Linked DNA regions of Rattus norvegicus. The protein of the gene in region 1 interacts with the protein of each later gene in a biochemical or structural test. Links are inferred from orthologs where the notes say so. Each region holds a gene or a part of one and is shown on either strand. Other genes may lie near its edges. The genes, in order: Ddit3, Fos and Atf3.

Region 1 (6,273 bases):
AGGCCCTGGGTTCGGTCCCCAGCTCTGGGGGGGGTGGGGTTGGGGGAGTGCTGGGGCTATGGGTCCATGCCATCATCCTGCTTGCCCATCCGAAGACAGCACTCACCTCTTCGTTTCCTGGGGATGAGATATAGGTGCCCCCAATTTCATCTGAGGACAGGACCTCCTGCAGATCCTCATACCAGGCTTCCAGCTCCCAGCTGGACACTGTCTCAAAGGCGAAAGGCAGAGACTCAGCTGCCATGACTGTAATTGGACCGGTTTCTGAAAAAGGACATACATTCCATTCACCACAGTTGGTGAACTGATCTCATGCCTGTTTTAACATATAGAATTTAAAGTGCACTGGTCTTACACAACAGGTAAGGGCATACATAGGTTGTCACTCCTTGAAAGCCACATTGGAATAGGGTGGGGGTGGAGAATCAACTCCCACAAGTTGTTCTCTGACCTGCACACCACTGCACACAAACTAAATGAGTGTTGGGATGGGGAGATGGCTACCACCAAAGCCCAGCAGTCTGGGTTTAATACTGCCAGATTCAACTCTCAATGTCCAGATGATCACATACACACCATGGCCAGCAGACAAACCCCAAACAAATAAATGTAATTTAAGAACTAAATCAGTAAATGTCAATATTATTTAGTTATCTCTACTATTTTGTTTCAAGCTTTTAATTTGCATGTGTATACATGATCAGTGTTTGGGGCCAGAGGCTTTGGCTCTCCTGGAACTGGAGTTCCAGGCTATGTGAACCACCTGATGTGGCTGCAGGAAGCCTGATTTAGGTACAGCAGGAAGCAGCAAGCATGCATAACTGATAAGCTTTCTCTCCAGACTCTATTGCCAGTCTTCTTTTGTTGTTTGAGACAGGGTCTCTCTGTGTAGCCCTGCCTGTCCTAGAACTCATGCTGGCCTCAAACTCAAAGAGATCAACTCCCAAGTGCTGGGACTAAAGGTGTGCATCACTATACCTGACAGAACCTACCCTTTATTCAGAGGGATTTACTACAGATAACTTCAGGATCCTCTCAAGTTCTGAGATACAGGAATGAGCCACTGTGCCTGGCTATGCATACATATTACAGGATTACAGTAAAAGTATTCAACTCACTTGGGAACACTACTGGTAATTTCTAGGGGCAATTACCAAGCTATTTGTACTCCTTTTTTCTTGTGTGGGAAGCTTGAACTAAAGGTCCTTTGGGGTTAATCTTGGTGTGGACTGAGAATTGGGAAAACAAACCAGTTGCCATTTTTGAGGCTGACTTTGAGACAAGCCAGCTCTAAAACAACATTATGGGATCAGAGAAAGACATGGTCTGACAGCAAAAGCTGGTTCTGGTCAAGGCCTGGTCTAACTCTCATCCCAGCAAAGCAAGTTGAGCAGCATTAGGAGCTGACTGGGAGGGTGGCTAAGATTACCTGCTTTCAGGTGTGGTGGTGTATGAAGATGCACTTCCTTCTGGAACACTGTGGAGAAAGGGGAAGAAACAGGTCCTTTACCTCTAGCCTCTTACTGGTCTTTCTCTAGCTGGTTTCTTAATTTCTGTCATTGGATTTTGAGACAGTTTCTCTGTGAAGCCCGGGGCATCCTGGAATTCTGGAACTCAACTCTGTAGACCAGGCCACAGAGAGGCTCGTGTGTGTGTGTGTGTGTGTGTGTGTGTGTGTGTGTGTGTGTGTGTGTGTCCCTGAAGCCAAGGACAGGCATGCTTAACTTTATTTTTAGTTGCTGACATTTGTAGTCCTGATTACATAATAGCAAAGTCCTGGCCAACTAAGTTTTCTCTAAATCCAGATAGACCTCAGATCTGCCAAAGTGAGAACTAAAATACAGGGAAGAGAGATTTCAGCAGTATTTGCTTAAACTCCATTCCCATCCTAGCCTCCAGACCTGCCCTGGGATCTCCATCTCTTTTGGTTGTTGAGCAGGCATTCAGCTTACACAAAAGGCCTTTCCTACCAAGGGGGTACAGTTCTTACTAAATGGCAACTATAGGTGCCTAAAGCCAAACATTTGGTATCCTTAATTCCTCCCTTCTCAGATACCACAGCTCAGTCTAAAGCACTGGCAACTTCAATATTCTTTAGAAGTACCCAAAACCTAAATATTTCTCACTTTTTCTCATTATTTCCAGATGTAAACTTACCATGCATTATGCATTTCATTCCCTAGATTATTTTTGGAAGCCTTGAAATCTTTTTTTTTTTTTTTTTTTTTTTTTTTTTAGACAGGGTCTTGCTGTGTAGCTTTTGCTGTCCTGGAACTTACTTTGTAGACTAGCTGGCTTTGAACTCTGATCTACCTACCTTTCAAGTGCTGGGGTTAAAGGCATTTGCCATTATTTCCAGCTAAGATCTCCTGTTTCTATTCTTGTCTTTTTTATTTTCATGGCTGCGGGTTGACCTAGGGCCCTCTACATACTAGGCAAGCAGTCTACTATTGAGCTACACACTCAACCCTTTGTTTTTGTATTTATTTTGAGTTAGGATCTGACTATGCTGGCCTGGAGCTCAGAGCTCTGCCTGCTCCTACCTCTTTGAGTGTTGGAATTAAATGCATGGGGTCTTTCCCCAACCCTTTTAATTTAGGACATTCCTCTGCTCAGATCCCCCAATGGATTCCTGTTTCAGGACTGTTGAAAGACTAGCATCCTGAGAATGCTTGCAAGGCTCTACAGGACCTGCTACTTGAGTTTCCATTCACCACCCTCTCCTGCTTACTCTAGTCCAGCTCACTGCCCTGCTCCTAAGGATACTGGCACACTCATCTCAACCCTTCTGCTCCTTCTCTCCCTTCTATAAACCTCTTCCACATTACCTGCTTGGCTCACAGGCTTGCCTTCTTTCCATCTCACCCACCCACTGAGGCAATTCCTGAATGATAAAACCTCTAGCCACCATCCTGAACTATTTTTTCCCTGCTTCTGTTTTTCCCCCCTTTTGCTTTACATTGAAATGTAAGTTTTATTGAGAACAGTTTCGTCTTTTGCTTCTAATATACCCTGGATCCCCAAATGCTTGGCACATAGTGGGTGCTTATTAGGCATTTGTTAGGAACGAATAGAGAACAACTAAGCCCACTGAGCCCAAAGGCAGAGCTGAGCTGCCTGTCTCTGGGGACTGCAGACGCAATATTGCCCTGAGTGTTTCTCTGCAGGGTTGTCCTCTAGGGAAAACTCCTTGGTCTTCCAGTGTGTGGGACCTGGCTTTCATCAGCAGAGGAGCCCCAGGCCTGAGGGTGCAGAGACAAACAGTGGGCTGGCCTGATGCAACGGTTACAGAGATTAGTTGGGAGACAGGACTGAGGAAAGAAGCAGAGATCAGTCCTAAGAGAAGCAGAAGACCCTGGAGAGATCCCAAGTAATTTCCCATAGTTAAAGAGACCCAGGCTGCTCTCTTGTACGGAAACCCAGAAACCTCTGGGGAAAAGGGAAAAACCCATCTATGCTCCTCCCACCGGCACCCCCACTCGCAAAGATCTGTCAGTCTTTGAGTTGTCTTGAACGTTAGAGACAGCTACTAAAGTGGCCATGTTGGTGGTCCCTGAGGCGCTTCAGCTTGAAAGAGTTGGGGGGAATGAGGCTGGTGGAGAAGAGGTGCTAACAGCCGGAGTCCCCAACATTGGGGGGTGTGTCCTGTTGCCCCACCTTTCCTGCGAACCGCCTAGGCCTAAGATGGCCCGCAAATGGTCAGTACTGAGACAAATTTCCGAAGGCAACCGGAGTCCCTTTGCAGAGCAGGGACCAACCTGAGACAAGGGAACGGGAATGCAATCGCCCAAAGAGGTGGCCTGTAAGCACCATTCCCGAATCAGGAATTACCCGCCTTCACTCGCCCCTCAGTCTACAAACTCACAGTGGAAGGGGTGGGGCTACACCCTCAAGGACAGTTGCCTCTAACTTTGTGGAATAGCTATGTTGGCGAGGATGGGAAAGTAAGGGGTAGACGGAGTCAGTACTCGCCTCTCTCCTCAGGTTCCGGCTGTTATTTTGGCTCTGTCGCTGCCACCCGCTCATCTTCAACATGGTATGATCGACGTATTAGACTCAAGATACTGACCTCTGGAGCGGAGAGCGAGTATCTTTTATGCTATTCGGTCCCTCCTGGGGGGGGGTAGTGTCCAGGAGCCTACCAATCAGAAAGCGGCACGCTGGCACAGGCTCCGCCTCACCCCTCACGTCCGCCACTCAGGAGTCCCGTGGCCCCGCCTCCATCGCGCCCTCTGGCTCGAGAGTCTACGTTATCTCGGACCCGGAAGTGGCTTTGGGTCACGAGGCTTCGCAGAGGAGGTGAGTGAGTCATGCGCGCGCGCGGAGGAGAGTGCGGCGAGGGAGGGGATGACGTGGGGGGGGCGGAGGGGGAGCGGGGATGATGCAATGTTTGGCAACCGGTGTCCGCGCGCGCACGCGCAGGAGACGTCGATGGTGGTGGGAGGTGCTGGGGAGCGGGCGGGAGGGGGGGATGGGGGAGAGAGGAAAGAAGGCGGAGCGCCAGCTCACAGTGTCCAACGGCCCCAACGGCTGTCCTTCCTGAACTTGTCTGCCCACCTCCCATCACCTTTAACTTACTCCTCCATAAAAGACTCATTTTCCCTGGCCCCTCCCAACTAATGGGCACCGAGGCTCTTGAACCTCTTTAAAGTTTCCAATTTGTTCACCTGGATTGACATCTTCTGGAGTCTTTTAAGAGACCTCCTCCTCTTTTAGCCTTCTAACGCTTCCCAAAGACTGAGGTACTGGCATTTCCTTGGTAGTCCATCCGCTTCTCTCAGAAGGGCAGCTTTAACGTTTGTTTCAGAATCGTCCACTGCGTGCCAGAATTCAAGTTCTTTGTAGAGTGTAGCCTCCTGCCTACTTATCCTACCCCTGCTTTGTGTGATGCTCTTATGCCCTTCACTAAGCCCAATACCCACCCTTTTCCTTCTCCAAGATAGCAAGTCCTGTGACTCCCTGCTGATTAGCTGGCCTCATGCCTCTAGGTGTCTGGGTTCACGACCTAGAGACTGGGACGTGCATGCACTTGAGCGCATGATTGCCTGGACTGGGTCATTCTAGTTTAATTTGCCCAAGGAATCTACCGTACTCAGTTGTAAATTAAAGAATGATAGGTAAAGGTAAAAACAGCACTGTGAAGAAAACTTGAGTAAAAGTAAAAACATCTTGCAAAACCTATTTTTTGTGCCATGAAAACAGAGGCCATGTGGTGGCCTATTACATAGTCTGTCGTACACTCGGGAGGGGCAAGCCAGAGTTTGTCTAAGTAGAAACTGAACCAAGACCGGTTGCTATTGGATGGTGCGACAGTGACAGGTCCTTGGCCAGACTGCTCCTTCGCTCCAGACCTTCATTTCCCCTTCTGTTAGTAGAGGTTGGGGGTGGGCTGAACCAGATGGTCTCTCCTGGCCTAAAGACAGACCAGGTTGTCAGTGACAGGCAGAGGTCATGTGACTTGACAGGCTGAGGTCGTGTTGTGACATGTTGACCTGGAGAGGCGGGTCAAGTCTCTGCACACTACCCGGGAAGCCTTTGGGGCGGGGCAGGGCAAGTCGCGACTTTCATCTTTTAGGGCTGGCCCCTCCCGGACCTGACATTCCTGACTCCCCCAACAGATTGTGGCTTCGGAAGGGGCCCCTCCCGAGGGAGGATTGGGATTGGCCACCAGTGGCCTGGGAAGAGGCCCAGATCCTTCCGCGGAGGACGGGGGGGGGCCGCGTGGGGTGTTTGTTCTCTTGGGGATTAATGGGGGGTTGTGGGGGAGGGGTAGGCGCGCTCCCGCATGCGCACTGCGTCCCCTCCTGTTGGCTCGCTGCTGTCCGCTGGGCGGGGGCCCGGCCCCGCCCCTCTCCCGTCCGGGCAGCGGCGGCGGCGGCGGCGGCTGCGGCGGTGGCGGCGGCAGCGACGGCGGCGGCGGTAGCAGTCTGCGCGGTGCCTTCTGGGAACGGAATCCCCAGGGCTGCCCCTGGCCCCTATGGCGCATGCGCGGGAGGCCGCTCGGTGATCCGCGGCGGCGGCGGCGGCGGCGCTTCCTGCTAAGACCGGCCGGGGCCGTACCGGAGGCTCGGGCTCCACCGACCCACCTCCCACCCCCTCCCACTCACCCTCTGGGCCGCGACTGCGCAGGGCGGGGCCAGCCGAACCATGGGCCGCGGTGAGTGCGGGGCCCGGCCCCCCCGCCCCTCCCCCTCCCTTCTCTCTCCTCCCCTTCTGTCCCTACCCTCTGCCCCCTCCGCGTCCTTTCGGCCCCTTTTCCCGGCCCCATCCACA
Region 2 (6,402 bases), on another chromosome or scaffold:
TTTAAAGAGGCAGTTCAGCCTAATGGACAGGAGGGGGAAGCGGCAATTGGGTTTGCAGTGTGGAAGGAAGGTGGCTTATTTCAACTATTCTTCAGTTCACTCACTTTTAAGATAAAAGTAACTCTTCCCTTGATTTCATGGGAATAAGATGCTAAACTTGCTGGTTGTCTGTAATAACCACCACTGTCAGGGTTGAGGCAAGAGGACTGCTGGGAGTTGGGAGGCTACCCTGGACCACCTAGCAAGATCCTATCTCCAACAATACCAAAATAATAATAATAATAATAATAATAATAATAACAACAACAACAACAACAATAATAATAATAATAATAATAATAATAATAATAAAGGAGAAAAGTTTGCATAGAGCTAGGCTCTGTTCAAAGGATCCCTTTCCCAGGAAAATCACTAAGGCGAAGATAGGCAAATACATTTAAGGATGCTCCCTCCAGAGAAGCAGGAAGGCACGTCAGCCTTGCACAAGCTGTTACAGGCAACTCTCAGCCCCCAGGGCAGGCAGGTAGAAAATCTTAGCAATGCAATATGAACACACATATCTGTAAAATACCCTGAACTAGCGTTTCCTCTGAGTGATAAGGGAACAGAGGGCGTGTCCCCCTCCAGGACCCACCCATCTTGACAAACTGGTCTCTCTCCAAGGCCTTCCCGAAACTTCCAAAACTCTCAGAATAAAAGAGCAACGAGGTGGTCGCATTCAACTTAAATGCTTTTATTGACAATGTCTTGGAACAATAAGCAAACAATGCTTAAAATTTTTTCATTCAAATTCACTTTCCACATGTCGAAAGACCTCAGGATAGAAAAAAATAAAATAAAAATATAAATATCTGAGAATCCATCTTAATAAATAAATTGAAAACACAATAAAACGTTTTCATGGAAAACTGTTAATGTCAGAACATTCAGACCACCTCAACAATGCATGATCAGTTACATGACAATGAACATGGACGCTGAAGAGCTACAGTACGTGGATATAGCGATTTATTTCTATCTACCGGAAAATAAAGTTCTATCTTTTCTTAGTTTAATATTGGTCATTTCTAAATTGGAACACACTATTGCCAGGAACACAGTAGGTATTGTTAAAATCAGCTGCACTAGATACAATCCGAAAAATATCCAGCACCAGGTTAATTCCAATAATGAACCCAACAGATTAGTTAATGCTATGAGAAGACTAAGGAGAAAGAGAAAAGAGACACAGACCCAGGCCTGGCTCACATGCTACTAACTACCAGCTCTCAGGTGTCACTACAAACAATACACTCCATGCGGTTGCTTTTGATTTTTTGTTTTGTTTTTTTTTTGTTTTGTTTTTTTGTTTTTTTGCTACATCTCCGGAAGAGGTGAGGACTGGAGTCCAGATGTGGATGCTTTCAAGTCCTTGAGGTCCACAGCCTGGTGTGTTTCACGCACAGATAAGGTCCTCCCTAGGTCTACGGGAACCCCTCGAGGGAAGACTTGTTTCTTCTCTCTGTAATGCACCAGCTCAGTCAGTGCCGGCTGCCCTGCCTTCTCTGACTGCTCACAGGGCTAGCAGTGTGGGCGAGCTCAGTGAGTCAGAGGAGGGCTCGTTGCTGCTGCTGCCCTTTCGGTGGGCAGCTGCGCAGCTAGGGAAGGAGTCAGCCTCGGGGTAGGTGAAGACAAAGGAAGACGTATAGGTAGTGCAGCTGGGAGTGCAGGTGACAACGGGAGTGCACAGGGGCTCCAGCTCTGTGACCATGGGCCCCATCCCCAGGGAACTGCTGTGCAGAGGCTCCCAGTCTGCTGCATAGAAGGAACCAGACAGGTCCACATCTGGCACAGAGCGGGCAGTCTCCGAGCCACTGGGCCTAGATGATGCCGGAAACAAGAAGTCATCAAAGGGTTCAGCCTTCAGCTCCATGTTGCTAATGTTCTTGACCGGCTCCAAGGATGGCTTGGGCTCAGGGTCATTGAGAAGAGGCAGGGTGAAGGCCTCCTCAGACTCTGGGGTGGTAGCCTCAGGCAGACCCCCAGTCAAGTCCAGGGAGGTCACAGACATCTCCTCTGGGAAGCCCAGGTCATTGGGGATCTTGCAGGCAGGTCGGTGGGCTGCCAAAATAAACTCCAGTTTTTCCTTCTCTTTCAGTAGATTGGCAATCTCGGTCTGCAACGCAGACTTCTCGTCTTCAAGTTGATCTGTCTCCTGCACAGAGATGTAAGAAAGCATAAGACACAGGTTTCCTCAAGGACCCTGACCCCATAGTCCCAACCTCCAACTTTAATAAAGTTTCAGGAGCAGCAGCTGGTTCAACCTACCGCTTGGAGCGTATCTGTCAGCTCCCTCCTCCGATTCCGGCACTTGGCTGCAGCCATCTTATTCCTTTCCCTTCGGATTCTCCGTTTCTCTTCCTCTTCAGGAGATAGCTATAAGAAAAGGACCAACATTCAATAAGGTGGTCTAGTGTCACCTCTGTTCAGTCACCCCAGTGAAACTGGCTCCTACAGCACCCGCACCTCTCACGGTGAAGCAGTTTTTCTAACCTGCAGTTGGCAGGCTGAGTGTGATTTGCATTTAAAGTGAGATCTTTAGGAGGGGAACAAAGAAGCTCCCAAGCTAGAGAATGTGGTTGGAAGCTGTCAGGGAAACTAGAGTATTTCTTGGGGCCAACTGTCAGTGTCTGACGAGGGTGGGAAAGGGCTGCAGCCACGGTCCCTGGTCAGGAAGTGCAGTCAGTAGCGTAGGGTTTCACCCACTCTGCCGTGTCGCCTGTGCGTCCGTCCCCCCCGCCCCCCCCCAACTCCCCGCGCAGGTCCAGAATCGCTACTCACCTGCTCTACTTTGCCCCTTCTGCCGATGCTCTGCGCTCTGCCGCCTGACATGGTCTTCACCACTCCCGCTCTGGCGTAAGCCCCGGTCGACGGGGTGGGGAGTCCGTAAGGATGGGGCGCTCTGGTCTGCGATGGGGCCACGGAGGAGACCAGAGTGGGCTGCACCAGCCACTGCAGGTCTGGGCTGGTGGAGATGGCTGTCACCGTGGGGATAAAGTTGGCACTAGAGACGGACAGATCTGCGCAAAAGTCCTGAAACAAAACAAAAAGAGGAAAGCGGAGGTGAGCGAGGAGGTTCCAGACACAGGTGGAGCAAGTGGCCCTAGTGTCGCATGAAGCAGGGAGAGAGAAGCATTCTGGTCAGAGACTGCTTGTGTCTTCCTGTATGCACTTCATCCGAGATAAAAAGGTCTCCCAATATCCTCTATCCTCCCCTGAATTCCGCAGCTCAGCCTTTCTCCTCCATCCTACTGCTGCGTTCCCGTTATCCCTTCAGCATCACTCGCTCGAAAGGGGGTTTGTTATAAATATCCCTGACGTCTGCGCTGACGCAGGCGCTGCTCCGGAGTCTCCAGAATGAACTCGCTTTTTATCAATGAAACTGCCTTACACACCGGCTCGCAGCACCCTCCTCCCTCCTCCCTTCTCCCTGCTCCAGGCTGCCCCGGGAGGGGGGATTGCCGCCGTTTGCCGCCTCCCAGGCTCTAGTTAGCGAGTCTTTGCTAGAGACTTGTTGGCCCCGGCTGATCTCAGAAACAAGTCACCGAGAGAAGAGCGCAGGACACTCAGAGTAAACCTGCCGCGCGGGAGGGGGGTCACTAAGTCTTAGTATGACAAGTGTGCACGCGCTCAGACAAGTCCTGGGTTCCCAGGCTAGGGCTGCTCTGACCGCGCCAGTCTCCCTCCGGAGCAAACAAGGAAGACCCCTACTCTTCCCTGACAGTCACACCCCAATGTGCCCTCCTCGGCGACCCCCAGCGCGGACCTGGCGACTGCACAAAGCCAAACTCACCTGTGTGTTGACAGGGGAGCCCATGCTGGAGAAGGAGTCGGCTGGGGAATGGTAGTAGGAAAGGCTGTCCCCGGCCGGGGAGGCGCTACTGCAGCGGGAGGATGACGCCTCGTAGTCCGCGTTGAAACCCGAGAACATCATGGTCGTGGTTTGGGCAAAGCTCGGCGAGGGGTCCAGGGGTAGACACTGGTGGGAGCTGCAGAGCAGAGCTGGGTGGGAGCGCGGTCACTGCTCGTTCGCGGCTCCGCCGGCTCTATCCAGTCTTCTCAGTTGCTAGCTGCAATCGCGGTTGGAGTAGTAGGCGCCTCAGCTGGCCGCTTTATAGAAGCGCTTGAATGGCTTACTACGTCATGAGCGGAACAGAGAAACTGGAGGGGGGAAAGCGCTCCCGAATGCCCTCTGCGGGCTCCCTGTCATCAACTCTACGCCCCAGGCTCTCAACCCCCGTCTCAGTCTGTAACTTTCACCTATGAGTGTTCACAATTGGGATCTTAGAAGGTCTCCTGGACCCTCCGCATGTAGGATTTCGGGGATGGTTCCCCCCAGGACAACAGGGACCGGCCGTGGAAACCTGCTGACGCAGATGTCCTAATATGGACATCCTGTGTAAAGGAGGGAGGGATTGACGGGAACAGCTCGCCGGCTGCAGCCAACTCTGAGGGTGCAGCGCAAGGGGGGAGCGGGGGCCGCGGCCGGGGGAGGGGAGGCGGGAAAGGCAGAGAAGGCGAGCGAACATTCGCACCTGATTCAATGTGTACTCTGTTCCCAGGGTCAGGGGATGAGACTGGGGGTCATCTCCTTTCCATTGTCCAGCAATCTGGAGCTTTTTAAAAAAGTCTCTGGTATTAGGAGAAGCAGGCACGCAGCCCTAAAGGCTCCAAGTCTCTGTTCCCAAAGGAAAGCTAGCCCACATCAGACCTCTCTCCGTCCCAAATCAGTGCAACATTAGGCCTGAGGTTGGAAGCAGTAAGTGAAGGATTCTAAGTAAGTATTCAATAACCCGCTTTACCTACAATACTGAGTTCATTCATACATTCGTGTTTTAAAGGACGACAGCACCCACTCCCCGACCCTTGGCCACTTAGAACAATCAGGGTGACTGTCCCGGGAGACACTGACGGATAAACATTGTGCAAAACCACCCTGCAAGGATGCCTGAAGGGGTCGTTTGCTCAGTTTTGAGCGGAGGCCAGAGGGCGAGTGAAGGCAGGGGTCTGCTCAGAATTACAAGTGAGGTGAGCTCCCGGGAAGAAGGCAATTCGGTGCACAGGGGAGGTGGGGACCTGAATCCGTGCAGCCTGGAAACTGCGCTTACAAGGAACCCGCAGCGGGTGATTTTCCAGTTCGGACTTGGGGAGGGGGGGATGGGGGAGGAGGGGAGGACGGACTGGAAGCACGGTTCCCAGCTGTGCAGAGATGTTGGCGTCTGCTTTGAGCACAGCTTTGAGTCTTGGAAGATGGAACTTTGGAGATGCCGGGTGCTTCGGTGTAGAACAAACACACCCCTACTTGCCCTCAGTCTCCTGTCCTTCAGCAGAGGACAAGCCGGGTTAGACTGACTGGGCTCGGCCCCAGAGCGCTGGTCACCTCTGGGAAAGGAAACCGCAGATCCTCGCAGAACTCATGTGTCCCCTCTTCTCCATTCTGTGGATCCCAAGGGTCAAACTAACTGGTGGGCATTCCGAGACGGACTAGAGAGGATTGGGGCAGCGGATGGATCTTCAGGGGCCCAAGAGGTGCAGAACCACAAACCTGCCCTGGGCCGCCGCACCCGGGAGCTAGGCGATTTTGCTATAGATAGTAACAGCGAAGCGGCTGTTTACAGCAACACAGCGCCGCCAGGGCCGTCTCCAGGCGACGCCGCGCGGCCGGGCTCACGGTCCGCCCATCCAGGCCACCCGCCCTCCCTGCTCCCCAAGAGCCGTGGCCTCCCTGGCCAGGCTGCGGCCGCTCCGCCGACTGACATCACCCTCGGGTTGGGGGGCCGATCCCGGCTGGCTCCTGCCTATGCGCTAGCCTCCATTCTTAGAGATCCAAACCCAGCAGGAGCGGGGAGGGCAGGGAGGCGGGGATTCGTGGAAATAGGCCACTTGCTATTTTTGCATTCCCTGTCACAGGCAGAGGTGAAAACAGAATTTCATCATTGTATGTCATTAGTTTATGTTGGTGTGAATTTAGGCGCTTTTTTTTCTCACTCGAAAGAGGGGGAAGGGAAAGAGGACAACATGATGTAGAAACACAGGCTTCGTATAGCCGGTCAATCCTGAAGCGATTTCATTGGCCTTCAGTTCTCTGTGAATTCTAGTCTGTCATGTGCTTTCACTGTTCTTTACTATGAAAGGAAGAGACAGAAAGATTATGCAGACCTCTTCCCTCTTATTAGTTTCGACAAAGTAGGTCAACCTTTGAATTCCTGGTTCTGTCTGGCCTTGCCTTCCACTCATAACCACATCTCAGGGGCTCTTGGAGAAAAACCACAGTGATTTGATTTTATTTCCTTTTCAGGTTTGAAGCAGCTCTGGCCAACACCTCAAAGATGTGTCAAGATTTTATATCCAGGATTTATCTCG
Region 3 (6,241 bases), on another chromosome or scaffold:
CGGAGAGAGCTAAGTTTAAACGAGCCATTTTATCCATGAAATCTCCACACCAGAATCTATTTTTTTAAATCGAGGTTTGAGGACCACTCAGTTATGTGTTGTGACAGTACCCCAGTGGCTTTCTCCTCTGCAAAGGACGGCTGGTAATGAGTTCCCTAATTCCCCAAGAGTGGTGAGCAGCTTGGGAAATAATACAAGAAATGCCTTGAAATGCCTAGACCAGGAACTACACTGGGTCTCCCAGGAACTCCCACGGAAGGATGGCTGCTCTCCCTCGGAGACTCCCTGGGGTCTGCTCACCTTCTATGATGTTAGGAGCCCTTCCTCAGGATTGCTTTTCCCTGGAGATTAATGCCCCCGGTGGAGGCAGAAATTCCAGGGTAGTGATTGCAGAGTCAAAAGAACTGGAGAAATGTATATTCAATGCTCTCCCAGACGGGAGCAAGGACTGAATGTCTCTTAACCTTGTGGCTGAGGGATGCTGTTTCTTTGACTTCTGAAGTCAGGGGCTCAGCGTCCTCCCATACACACACTCTCCTTCCCCATTTTACTGGAAAACAGATCAGAGCTGCCACTGGCCTGGCCGTCCAATCTGTAGGACTGAATAGTTCATCTATACTTAACTGGTTTGAGCCATAGCAGTTGAGCATGTCCCTTTTAGCCACCCAGTTACGTTTATTAATGAGCCCTTTGAGGTTAAAGTCTGCTGTTTCGGACTTCCCCCAACAACATTCTTAGTGTAAATTCAGGAAGAAACCGAGGAATGTCGGTGGTGGTGGTGTGGAATGTTTTTGTGAAAAGCTGGGGGGGGGGGGTGGGGCTCACTTGGGGACACAATTGCATTGTAAAAGCCATTAAGAAAACTTTTCCCATCATCGTGGGGCATACTCTGCAAGATCTGGGCTCTTGTCCTTCCTGGTTTGTCTTGCACAGAGTTCTCCAGAGAGTCAGACTAGAAGTCAGGCTGTGTCCCTCCAGGGAAAGAAAGTTTAAAACTTCAGCTTGATTCCAGAAGCTGAGGCCCCAGAGAAGGGAGTGTTTGGGGGTTTGGGAATGAGCTGACTTAACTTTCTGCACTGATGATAAAACTCTCTTCCAGATTTGCTTCCAGATTCCACTTCTGTTTCATCACTACCAATCAGAAATTATGTCACATACGGTTGGCAATTTCGTCATTTTCAAGAAAATGAAACTTCCCTTATTTAGCTGGAAATTCGGCTCCTAGATTTTTATCTCCAAGTAGCTTATGATGGCTCTGAATTTTCACTTTTGATTTCCACTTCCTTCCACCCAGCTGTCTGCAAACCGTCCTGTAGTACTGGGGAATCAGTAGCTGCCTTCCTAACTCCACATCCTGTTCTTTTTCCTGTTTGAAGGCTGGAGGCAGAGGCTGCTTCAGGGTGGGATGAGACAGTATTCTCCAGTTCTATCTCTGGTCCCCACTAGTTGAGCATCCATTTACGAGCTGGATGCTTTCTGACCTTAGTTCCTATCTGAAAATTGTGATCAAGGTTGCCAATTCCCTCCCAGGGTTGTGTGTGTGTGTGGGGGGGGGACAACACATCACATGCACAAACATTAGAAAATCAGTATTCACATGTCCATTCTGACTCCACCTCCCCCCAGCCCCTCAGGGAACCTGATTAAGTTCAGTTCGGTTTAATTCTATTGATCAGGAATTGACTGGAACTATCAAGAATTTCAAGCTGGTGGTTGACCCCTGAGTTCCCAAGACACAGGGCGAATTACACCCCATTTGCTGACATCAGCACTCCTCCACTATAGTTGGATTGACAGAGACTGAGAGTTCTCACATAGAAAACCATTTCTCTCCTGAAGTTTCTGTGGCTTCCTGACTATGTCCCTCCTCCTGTGATGGGGAACCCCCGGTTGCCAGTTCCTTAAGGAATCACAGACTCCTGGAACATAGAATTATCTGGATCAAATCCCCATTTTGTCATTGAGTAAACTGAGGTCCTGGAAGGGGTAGCACTTGTCTAAACTCACAGAGATGGGTGTGGTCCGGTCCAGCCAAGCTGCTCACACCCACCCCTTGCTCGATTTGCACTACCACAAGGACCCAGCAGTTCAACAGATCAACCAAGTAAGCAATCATGGACAGAGCTGCCAGCCAGGTAGGCAACTATGGGCTGAAGAGTCCTGCACCCCCCCCCCAACCCCGTCATAGAAGAGGCTCTGACAGAATGGCTACAAGAAACGGGTGTGCCTGAGAAGGGATTTAGATAGCCACAGATGCTGGGCGATGTCTTCTTCACTCTGGACACCTGGTCAGCAGCCTCTGAACCCTCCAGATAGAAGCAACAGTAACCCCCACCCCAGCCTCAGCCCCACCCCCAAGCAAGAGCCTGTGTGTGGTAACACTATCCCATAGTAAACGCAACATGCAAAACATGTGCTCTCTTCTTCTCAGCACTTGGGGACTGGAGCTGGAAGATCTCCGTAAGCTCAAAGTAAGACCAGGTTACACGGGGAGACCTTGTCTCAAAAAAGTGGAACCAGGGGAGGGGAGAATAAACGTTTTAAATTATTGGACTTGGCAACTCCTTTAGTTTATAAGAAAGCTGGTGTGATGAAATCAAAGAAAATAAAATGGCTAGGAGGAAAACACAGAAATGGGAGTTGGGAATGAGAATGGGGTGGGAGCAGGGAAGCAACCCAATGGGAGAGAGTTAGGAGACAGAGATGCAGGAGAAGCCCCCATTCCTGCCCTGTCTCAGAGACCCGTTAGGAGAGCTGGGTGGGGAGCCCCCTCACTCAGCATTCCCCCCACCCCGACTCCTTTTATTTCAATTATTTCACTCGAGAAACAAATCTGTCAAAACCTGGCTATCTGAACCACGCAGCGCAGGCTCCCACACAGGCAGAGAGGTGTCAGGCATAGTGGCCTGTAATTTCAGCACTTGGGATGCTGAGGCAGGAGGATTGCCCGGAGTTTACGAGCAGTCTGGATTACAGAGTGAGACCCTGTCACAAGACAACTCCTCCCGGACCCCTCCCTCCAACAAGTACAAGTGGTCCCACACCCTGGTCCCTCCACCCGCTTGATCCGATTTCTTCGGCTCACTTCGAATACACCAAGAAATCCAAGGACCAGTTAAAAGTCAGCCAGAGCACAGCAATTCACAACAGCGAATGAGGCTGGAAGTGACGTCTCAAGCCCAGCCGACCGAAGTTAGCGGGTGCGGAGACCTCTCTGCCTTCAGCCCCGGGACAGCGCCACACCAGCGCTCGCCGCCTCCAAACTTATCCCGACTCACTTTCGCTCCCAGCCCTCTACGAGATCCTGCGGCCCGGAGCTCTGCTCCGCGGAGCGCAAGGCGACCTCCTGCGGCTGTGCGGACCTCCGACCGAGTGTTCCTTCTCCATTCATTTAGCTCCGTACCCGGAGCAGCGCTTCCACAAGCCAGGGCCACCACACCTCTCCGCGGACTCAGGAGGGACCCACTCCTACTCCAGAGCCCAGACACAAAGTGATGGACGGAGGAGAGGACCGCGACCCCCAGAGTGTGGGTCACCCCCGCGCACCAGCACCCACCACCCACCCAGAGGACCTCTCCTAGTTGCGAGCTGAGAGCGCGCGATCTCCTCCCAGGGCATCTTTCACGCCTCAAGTCAAAAGAGAAAGTTCGTTCTTTCACTTTACCAGAAACTTTTCCCCAGCCGGGAGCGGCGGCGGAGAAGAACAGCTCAGCCGAGCGACTGTGGTGCGGAAACTAGGGCTCGGGTCCCCAGTGGCACAAGGGTCCGGGGGATGGTCACCAGAGGGGAACTTAGGGTGGGGAGGGCAGCGCTCCTCGGCGTGGTTCTAATGCTCACCTCCAGTCTTCGCTCGGGGCGGCCAGGGTCCAGAGAGCGGCTAGAGGCGGGCTGTCTGTCCCGCCGGCAGGCGAGCGCCAAGGACTCTGCCGGAGCGCGGGTTGGTCGGTCGGCTCCGCCGGGGAAGCACCGTGCACCGCGCGTCTCGCTGAGTGAGACTGTGACTGGGAGCGCGTTGCATCACCCCTTTTAAAGCCCTCGCGCTGGCAGGGAGCCCGCTTAACTCCTGGTTACCAATCCCAGGCTGACGTAATGCTATTAATAGCTTCCAGGGAGAACTGGCCAGAGGAGGGGTGAAGGAGGGACGAGGGCGGGGCAAAAGGTGGGTGGAGACCGCGGACTTGGTGATGCAAGTGCGAGAAGGGGCGGTCACAGCGCGTCCTACGCGCCTCGCACGCCCGGGACACACACACCCGCCCGCCCTCTATCTCCATATCAGGCCGGGAGCCGCCCGGGCGCACCGCCAGATGTGCGTATTCGCCGCTGCGTGTTCCAGGCATGAGCCAATGGTGCCCAAGCCAGCGGCATGACTCCACCGCCCTGGCATCTCTCCCTCCGCTAGGTTGGGATGGGGGTGGGGGAGGGGTGCTGGGAGGCGGGTCCTGGCAGTGGCCCAGACTAGGTGAGGCTGGGAAGCGGGCACGACCTTTCTCTAAAATGCGTGGTCATTTTTCTAAAACTTCAGGAAAAGGCGCCTTCTCTGGCCAGCGGCCTAGCCTAAGGAGGAGGCGGGGAAGGGGTAGCGGAGACGATATCCCGCGTGAAGGAGGTACCCAAAGTTACACTCCGGTGAATCCACACGGTTACCGGCCCCTGTGACCTCCGCTGCCGCGGGCCCCCGCTCACAGCTGTGGGTTAACGTAGACATTCGGCGGCTTCGTGCTCCCACGCCCTGGCCGTGCACACGCAGGGGCCCCAGAACCCGCCAGGAACCCAAGGTGTCAGTGACCGGTCGCTGTCAGCTCATTTTTGTTTTTAATAACAACCACAAAACGTTTTTAAATGAACAGGGAATTCTCCGCGAAAGCAAGAGCTTAGAAAGGGGAAAGATTTGGAGAGATCAGAGGCCACCTAGCGCAGGGATAAGAAGGGGCTGGAAAAAGGCGGCTCGGCCAGTCCGGGAAAGAGGACGCTTTGATCTCTACGCGCCCAGCCTGGGCGGGGGTGGGGGTCCGCCTGGACGTCGGGAAATACTTAGAGAAAAACCGTCTCCAGGTTTCGAGTGTCTGTATGCAGGAACAGAGGGCTGTGCTAGGGACCCGGTGGCGGGGACTGAGCACGCACCGCTTAAAGCCGGAACACCGGGCCCTCTGTTCCCTAATCTGGTGGCTGGGAAGGCTGGGCGCGTACGGCTCGATTTCAGGCCAAGACCTCAGCAGACCTGGGTTTGAACCTCGAAAATAGTTTCCCGATTCTGATCCAGTGATTCCGACGGTCTGGGCTGAGCGCAAGACCCCGGACTGGTCCCCATAGCTCATCAAGGGTTAGACCTGCACACGGCTGCGGCCCAGTAGTCGCGCACCTGCCTGGGAGGCGTTCGTAGGCGCACACCGGGCTGGACGCCGAGGTGTAAAGGCAGAGGCACCTGCTAACACCTGCCTTTGAGAGGAAGGCGATCAGAAGGTCACAGGGTGGTAGTTTAGGGTGAGACGCAGAATTGTTCCGTGCTGCTGCCCCATAGCACCTGCCACCCGGACGGTTACGGAAAAGGTCGCACACGGTATTACGCCGTACCCAGAGACAGACACTTCGGGCAAAATCAAGTTCTCTGCACCCGGGTTCCTTCAGTCCAAGGCCGACTCTCGACCTTCACAGGCCCCTGCCCTCCATCCAGGGCCCCGGAATCTCTCTGTCCTTGTCCTCGCTGGAAGCCTGGGGTGGTTCCATCCCCGGGATTCCCTTTGATCCTGCCAGGATCTGACGGGATTGCAGCAGCGTCGCGCGGGAAGCGCCAGGCAAATGTTTTGCTTTGGTTTTTGCCTTGGTAACGCTCTCGGGGCCCCACCCTCCATCTCCCACGCCCACACCCTGCTCCACACCTCCACCGCCCGCCCTCCAGCCGACCTGCCCTAAGGTAAACCCGGGGCGTGTCGGCACAACCCCGAAGAATGCCAGGTGCCTAGAAATGAAAGTTGTTTGGGATCTCCTCGTACCTGCCCCATCTCTTTAACAGGCTGCCCTGGAGTAAATAAATAAACACCACTATCCAGTGTAACAGGGAGATGGGGGGGGGCACACGAACCCTGCCCCCAAGCCTCTGGGAACCTCTACAGAAATCCTTATTGTCTTACGGATTAAACCGGAGTTCTGCTAATACTCGAGCCAGATTTATGGAAGTGGGTCCTGTCTTCAAGTGGACAGCCTTGAGAACCCAAGCAGCAAGGCCAGCAGTTCCCTCAGAACC

The links.
Region 2: the proteins of Ddit3 (region 1) and Fos form a complex in vitro, tested with the Homo sapiens proteins (2 studies listed by BioGRID and IntAct, with this or other methods). The link is inferred for Rattus norvegicus from reciprocal best matches to the Homo sapiens genes DDIT3 and FOS.
Region 3: the proteins of Ddit3 (region 1) and Atf3 form a complex in vitro, tested with the Homo sapiens proteins (2 studies listed by BioGRID and IntAct, with this or other methods). The link is inferred for Rattus norvegicus from reciprocal best matches to the Homo sapiens genes DDIT3 and ATF3.

What each region holds. Positions count from the first base shown.
Region 1 is NC_086025.1:64,999,492-65,005,764, reverse strand, and holds the start of Ddit3 (DNA damage-inducible transcript 3 protein), read right to left. Parts: upstream 4,071-6,273; 5' UTR 4,036-4,070; coding exon of another isoform or gene 3,973-4,035; intron 1,478-3,972; coding exon of another isoform or gene 1,436-1,477; 5' UTR 1,430-1,435; intron 265-1,429; 5' UTR 245-264; coding exon 107-244; exon of another isoform or gene 106-106; intron 1-105. Other genes in the region: uncharacterized LOC128125814 homolog, read right to left, coding at 1,436-1,477, 3,973-4,035. UniProt on the Homo sapiens protein: Multifunctional transcription factor in endoplasmic reticulum (ER) stress response. Plays an essential role in the response to a wide variety of cell stresses and induces cell cycle arrest and apoptosis in response to ER stress.
Region 2 is NC_086024.1:110,849,911-110,856,312, reverse strand, and holds Fos (protein c-Fos), read right to left. Parts: upstream 4,126-6,402; 5' UTR 3,974-4,125; coding exon 3,833-3,973; intron 3,073-3,832; coding exon 2,821-3,072; intron 2,416-2,820; coding exon 2,308-2,415; intron 2,195-2,307; coding exon 1,553-2,194; 3' UTR 1,259-1,552; downstream 1-1,258. UniProt on the Homo sapiens protein: Nuclear phosphoprotein which forms a tight but non-covalently linked complex with the JUN/AP-1 transcription factor. In the heterodimer, FOS and JUN/AP-1 basic regions each seems to interact with symmetrical DNA half sites.
Region 3 is NC_086031.1:105,291,755-105,297,995, forward strand, and holds the start of Atf3 (cyclic AMP-dependent transcription factor ATF-3), read right to left. Parts: upstream 3,991-6,241; 5' UTR 3,838-3,990; intron 1-3,837.